Linked DNA regions of Saccharomyces cerevisiae S288C. Changing the gene in region 1 together with any one later gene gives a genetic interaction. Each region holds a gene or a part of one and is shown on either strand. Other genes may lie near its edges.

Region 1 (3,760 bases):
ATTATCTAGAATAATCTGCATCGGCTTCAGGTTAAAATCTACCACGTAATAAAAGTAGTATTTCAGGGAAATGTTATATATTTATATATTTATGTGTCTACATATTAGAGTATGAGTTAAAATGTTCATTGTATTTATTAGAAAATAGTGGTGAGCGTAAGGGATTTTCACTATGAACGTGCAAGGGACTAATGCAAATAATAACAAAAAAAGAAACTAACCAAATGTAAAAATGGTTCAGGAATGGCACTTAAAACAGATATCATCTATCACTTAGTTATAAGTCAGTTGGTATTTCACCTTCCTTTTTGTCTTCGCGTATTTGGCAAAGCTGGTAATGCGGCTCTTTTGACAATGCATCAGCTTCAACTACCAGAACCTATTAATTCTGTAGCGTATACCAAAATAGTACAGAAAATGTTGCACCAGTTCCAAAATCCCCATGAATCTACTATAATTTCTGGTTGATCTACGCCAAACCACTTTTCACTGCAACCCCATATGCACAGGTCTTTCTTTAGCTCACCTGAATATTGTAAAATCAGGTGAGTATACATAGCAATTAATATGCAAGGACTGTACCAATACAATCCCTTCATGATCCTGCGACTCTTGCGCAACTGTTTGTCATTTTTTCTTTGTAATGCTGGAATAATCCTCGTTGCCGAGTAAAACATCAGAACTCTAAAGCATAAATTGATTACTATAGCTGGGGAAACTGATTCGCTTGCCATCTTAATTGTAACTTGACAAAATTCATTAATGGATAGCGGAACACTAAAGGTGAAATTCTTGAAAAATTTCCAAAATGGTTTAGATATCAAGGATACTTTTTCGAATGATAGAATGCTAATGAGTTTATCATGAAAATCACCGGTTTTCTTTCTTCCTCTAGGAATAAAGGACCCCCATAACACCTCTGCATTTTTCAATATGACATTATGAAAGTAGCACAAAAGATTGTCAGCTGTGGGCAGATTTCTTTGATGTTTCTGCCAGACGTCTTTGAACAAATTTAAAATTTCATCAGTCGCGGTAGTAGCTAATTTGGGGGAAATTTCATAAATACAACGAACAATATACGCAAAAAATAAAGAGCTCTCTATGACGGATCCTTTTTGACTCACAATACCATACAACCCCAGTCCACATACCATAGACAAAACAAGTCCTAATAAGGACGCCGTTTGGATGGATAACGGCCATATGGGGGTGACATAAATCCGATACAAATAGTACAGCGATGCGGTAATCACACCTCCGGAGGTTAACAATGAGGAAATAATCCACGTGTTTGAATTCAAGTCATTTGATAACCATCTATTAGTTTCCCCGACGGCCTGAATGGCTAAAATAGTGAAAAAACCTTCCGATAGAGTAAAAAAAGGTGTGGACTTGGTAAGCACGAATTGCCACGGTTGTACAACAAATCGATAGTAGTAATAATATAAGACGTAGTTAATTTGATTGGAATTCAAGCTATTTTTCAAAGCTTCCAGGAACGACTCCGACTCATTATATTTATTTTTCAGAACGTTTCCCAACTCATCATTAGAAAATCCAGACAAAAACAGGTATAGCAAAGATGCAATGATAAAATGTTGTGAGTAATACAGACAGTTGGTAAAAAAAATGTATAGTCTTCCTCCATGTCGTCTTGCCAACACGTTAAGAGTCGTAGTTATGAAATATAAAGTGAACAGTGTCACCGTGAAGGAAAGCCCGCATTCCAAACCACCAACTTTAAACGAGATTGGAATTGAAAGTAGTGTGAATAACAGATAGAAACATGCTGCGCAGATTCGTCCACTCTGCATGAAGCTTTTGGACAAACTGGTCATCGTTGCCTAATCTTTAGCGTGATCGGCCACAAACAGCACCTCTCTAATAGATCTAAGCAATTACGCGATGGGCTGAGGGGAGCAAAACGGAAAAAGAAGCTTCACGAATACTATAAGATCCACCAACACTTTACGCACAGCCCTTCCAGTATCACTACACCTCGATCCTTTACCTATGTTCATCTTCTCATCAATCATCTCTCCGAAACCAGTAACCGCTCCAGTCCCTTGCTTCGCTTCAAGCTGATGCGATTCCTCGTGTACCATGATCTGAAAAATTTTTCCTTCGCAATACTACTATAATTTAGCTCATCGCATATTTTGCAATAATATAATACAGGGAATAAACTGCATTGGTTCAGTGAGACGGTGGTATAATTGCGAAGTGACCAAATTGTAATGAGTGACAGTTCTGTGAGGGAAAAGAATGATAATTTCCGTGGCTATCGGAAAAGAGGAAGACAAGAACTGAGGAAGATTAAAAGATCTTCTGCCAGAACTGAAGGCGGAAGCACAGAAACATTAGAGGACGTAGCAGAAGATATTGACCATAGATCCGATGAGGATGAAGTGTCCGATGTCGACAGTGGCGATGATTTCGATATTGAGGATGAAGAGGGTAAAAAGGAAAAAGTTTATGACGCTTTATTGACGATTCTCAAATCTGAACATCCAGAGCCAAAAAGAAGAAGGCGAGAGGCTGACGAGAGTAACAAAGCTCCTGCCGAAGTTGGGGAGGATGAGCACGAAAATACAGAACATGGACCAGTGGATGATCAATTGGAGATAGAGAATGGCCTTTTGGGTAATCACGAGGATGATAACGACGATGACAGCAGTGGAGACGAAAAAGATATAGACAGTGAAGATGAGCAAGATCCTTTCGAGTCTCATTTCAACCAAGTTCCGGAGAAATTCGTTGATAAGTTGTCGAATGCTTTCAAGACCAAAAGTGTAAAATACAAATCCGTAAAGGGCTCACTAAGTGACAGTGAATCATATATATATGCTAAACCGGTAGTAATTGGTGAGGAAGCATTGGTGGAAAGTCCGTACAGGTCATCATCTATATATTCATACTTTTTGAAACAAAGGCTAAAAGTGCAAAATGGACTATTGGATAAAAAAACTGATCCATTGACTGCTTTGCAAAAAAAATTAGTAGACCCCATGTTTCAGTATAAAGACATATTATACGAGTATGACTCCTACGAAAAGGACGAAGACGAGTACAGAGATTTATATGCTTTGCATGTTTTGAATCACATCTACAAGACAAGAGATAGAATCTTGAAAAATAATCAAAGATTACAGGATAACCCAGACACTGAACACCTAGATCAAGGTTTTACAAGACCAAAAGTGTTAATTGTAGTCCCTACTAGAGAGGTGGCGTACCGCGTTGTAGATAAGATAATTTCAAAATCTGGTATAGATCAGGTTGACAAGAAGGGAAAGTTCTACGACCAATTCCGTGACGACTCCTTACCTCCAAAGTCCAAACCAAAATCTTTCCAACACATATTTAGGGGGAACACCAACGATTTTTTTGTTGTCGGTCTCAAATTCACAAGAAAGGCTATAAAACTTTATAGCAATTTTTACCAGTCTGACATTATTGTATGTTCGCCATTGGGTATTCAAATGATCTTAGAAAATACAGATAAAAAAAAGAGGCAGGACGATTTTTTGTCCTCAATAGAGTTGATGGTGATTGATCAATTACATTCAATAGAATACCAGAACATATCTCATATTTTCACCATCTTTGACCATCTTAACAAAATCCCGGATCAACAACATGAAGCTGACTTTAGCAGAATTCGGATGTGGTACATTAATGAACAAGCTAAGCTCTTCAGACAGACAATGGTATTCACAAAATACATCTCGCCAGCGGCTAATTCATTAATCAATGG
Region 2 (3,760 bases), on another chromosome or scaffold:
TCAAGATAGAGCATTACTTGAATAATGTCGAGTCTCTCTAAGTTGACTGATGTGTCAACAGCTTCTTTCCAAAAGCTCTTTTTTAAGAACGGATATGAAACATATTTGAAGCTCGAATATAATACCGGTTGCTTAGGAGCATGTGCTGGCTCAACAGTGAGATCCAATGGTATCTCATAAGGTATCCATTCGTTTTCATGTTGTTGCTGTTGCAGCATATCAAACCAAGCCAGTTCGCATTTTGCAACGTCATCATTGAATGAAAATGAGTCTTTATCAACAACTTTGATACTGAAAGCAAAATTCGTTTCATGGGGAAAAACTTCGAAAGCGGCATATTCATTAAATTCTGGGTTTAAAGTATGTTTTCTCCAAGATGTCTTGAATACTCTTCTACCAAACGAAATAACGATAAATGGATCCATTTCATAATTAGTCTTGGACAACCGATTCCTTAATGCAGGTAAATTTTTGATAGCCCCAATATGCATAAATACTACCCCCATCGCATGTTCCTTTTTCGATATAAAAAAGTTACTTTTTGCTCTTCTGTATAAGTAATTTGCATATGATTTATTATGTTTACCCCTTTGCAGGTGTAAAAGCCGACTCCCAATGTATTCTTTTGATTGAAAATCAGAATCTTCACGCTCATCCTCATTATATATATCAAACTCCTCATCACTTTCCTGTTGGTTTTCAGATTCTTCGTCATCCACTGATGTTATGTCATTTTCCGACACTGCAGGTAATTTTGCAACATCTTCTGGTTCTACGATATCATATTCATCTAAAGCTGTTATCATTGAAGATAGACTGATACGGGTATCTTCGTCGATGTCATGCACATTTATGTCTGGCACATTTGGATGATCTGCTTCTTCAAAATCATTTAGAATATCTAGTTCTTCATCATTTAGCGAAACAACCTCAGATATAGAGTCGAATATAGTATCATTGTCTATATCGTACCTCCTCTCCGTACAAATGCTGCCGCTGCTATTCATATCTTCAATAGATTCCTCAGCATCTATTTCATCCTCGGCATTGACCTCTTCATCGTGGGCTAGATCAGTATCGCTATATGGTTTCTCGCGTCGTATTTCATTTCCACTAACAGCTGAACTATTGCTCAACATATCTTCTAGTGGAGGTGGCAAAGAACTAGAAGATCTCATGCGGGCCTTATTTCTATCTATTCTGCCCAAGTAAGTGTTCAACTCATTTCTCCAAGCATTGAAAGCCTGAAAAGTCGGGGTTCTTTTAACGTTACATTCTAGCTTAAATCCAAGCAAAATATCGCCCACTAGAAAGTTGCAGTTCAAGGAATCTTGGTCTTTCCCTCCTTTCATATCGTATAGATGGTACCGCTGAGCTTCAATTGAAAATTTATAGCTCGTCGTGGTGTCCTTCCTCTTGAATAAATCCAGTAATGAAATTTTTGCTTCACCCAAATATAGATAGCTATTAATCCTATTTTTGTGTGTGGACCCGGGACCTGTTGTTGAGAGAGAAGAGGAAGAATGTGAAGGGGCCGGTGTAGCTGAAGATGATACTGAATTAATTGATGTTGAAGTTTGATTACCTTTGGACGTAACATTCAAATTTCTCGACGAATGAGAGTGAGAACTTAGCCCTGAATTTGACAGTGTCGATGAAGATGTATTTGCAGTGGTTGTCCTTGGTCTACTGGGGGTAGTAGGGGGAGCTCCGGTTGGTAGGGCGTCGTATACTATAATCCTTAACCATTCAGATGTTGGATTTCTCGGAAGTTTGATCCTCAAGGTTTGATTCCAGTGTGTATTTGAGTTCTTGAGCTTGTTCGTCTTTTGACTATAAAATGTATTAGTGGTAACAAAACATACCGGGTTACAATTGAATGTCTTCAAGGCTTCAATATTTTCAGCTTGAATGACATGAATTTTTAAAATTAGCGTTGGCTTCTTGTTCTTGCCTCGCTTTCTGCCCTTAATAATCCTCATCTTCGTCGTTGGATGCTCCTGAAAATCGAGGATTCTTTACCAATTGATACAGCATCAACCACTTTGGGCTAGTTTTAGCATCAAATTGGAATAGTTGTCATATATAAGAAGAATTCCTTGAAGTAGCACATGCGTTAGGGCTAGGATCTCAAGTTTCCAAGAGTTTGACATGTGCCCTGCTTTTTTGTCTTTCTCCTTCTTCCAAACCTCATTTTAAAGTAACATAACCTTTGTATTTTTCATATTAGCCCTTAGTTTTTTTTTACCCTAAAAAAATTTTTTTTTTTTTCTTTGAGTCGTGAAAGCTTTTTTTTTCCAGTTAAAGACCCCTCAAAATGAAAAACTTGTATAATGTTTAAAATAAAGCTGAATAAGTTGAAACTCAAGTTTATATTTAATAGGTAAAAGAATTTATCAATTGAGCACAAAACCTGCCTATACAGGAAATAATAGAATAGCAAAGAGGAAGTAAAAAGATGGGTAAAAGATTTTCAGAATCCGCCGCAAAGAAAGCAGCTGGCTTAGCAAGAAAAAGAGATCAGGCACATGCTAAACAAAGAGCACAAATGGAGCAGCTAGAAGCGGAGGAAGCTTCTAAATGGGAACAAGGTTCGAGGAAAGAGAATGCCAAAAAATTAGAGGAAGAGCAAAAAAGACAAGAAAAAGCAAGAGCTAAAAAGGAGCGCGATGCGTTGCTAACCGCAGAGGAGGAGCAACTGGGCAAGGGTGGCAAGGGTAAAAGAAAAATGAAATAAATTTGAAGAATCTTAGCCTTATAGCGGCTAATAATTGCATATGATAAAGTCATTCCCACTTTATCTCCATAAACATAAAAACGCAAGACAAATAACGACAATAAAAGTAACAGTGGTAATAATAATACTTCTGTATGAGGATGCTTATCTTTTGCGGGTTGAGTACAAAAATACACATGGTAAGAAATCACTGTTCAACGTTATAAGAATAAAGAGGGACGAGGAAGGATAATGCAAGTGTAGTTTACAGTAAAAAGAATGACTTTATGGTACTAATGGTATGAATAGTTGAAATTATGTACATTAGATTTGCATATGTATGTATATATAGCTTGCTGTCATACAAGAAGATTGATAACAATGATAAAAGTTAATGAAAAATTTACTTTTTTTCTTTCATTAAAAGGCAAATAAATGTTTCTTGTGAAAACTTTATTGACGATTGCTCGAGACAATCAGTGGGCAAAAGGATGATTGTCAAGTATGTCAACTATCAAAGTTATTGAGGTATATACACAGAATGGACTGAGAAAGGTACGGCCCTATTATAACAGAAGATCAGCGTTCGTGAAGGGGCGCTGGTTGGGTAAGTTACTAATAGACGTTCTCGTTAGTGAATTTAAACTTCGCCCAAGAGCTTATTATTTGGACCAAATAAGGAAAGGCACATATAGGTTGATCCGAGATGGTGTGCCGCTGGTACCAGATCATCTCATGACTACCATAATCAAGAATCATGATGTTTTAGAAACAACTACGCATAAGCACGAACCGCCGGTAAAACAATGGTGTAGCCAGGAAGTTGAAGCGGAGGATTTACCTGGCAGAATAGCGGGATTCAATATTGTTTTTGAAGATGAGAGTATCCTCGTCATTGATAAACCCAGTGGTATACCAGTGCATCCAACCGGTCAGTTTTACCAGAACACAATTACTGAATTACTGAAGTTACATGGTGTAGATGCTCTTCCTTGTTATCGGTTAGACAAGATCACATCAGGCTTGTTGATATTGGCCAAGAAC

The links.
Region 2: mutations in ICE2 (region 1) and PSD2 together harm fitness more than expected from each alone (negative genetic interaction), as found in Saccharomyces cerevisiae (4 studies listed by BioGRID).

What each region holds. Positions count from the first base shown.
Region 1 is NC_001141.2:191,676-195,435, reverse strand, and holds ICE2 (Ice2p), read right to left. Parts: upstream 1,842-3,760; coding exon 366-1,841; downstream 1-365. Other genes in the region: rRNA-binding ribosome biosynthesis protein UTP25, read left to right, coding at 2,241-3,760.
Region 2 is NC_001139.9:835,364-839,123, reverse strand, and holds the start of PSD2 (phosphatidylserine decarboxylase 2), read right to left. Parts: upstream 1,983-3,760; coding exon 1-1,982. Other genes in the region: LSO2 (Lso2p), read left to right, coding at 2,459-2,737; pseudouridine synthase PUS6, read left to right, coding at 3,221-3,760. UniProt on the Saccharomyces cerevisiae protein: Catalyzes the formation of phosphatidylethanolamine (PtdEtn) from phosphatidylserine (PtdSer). Plays a central role in phospholipid metabolism and in the interorganelle trafficking of phosphatidylserine.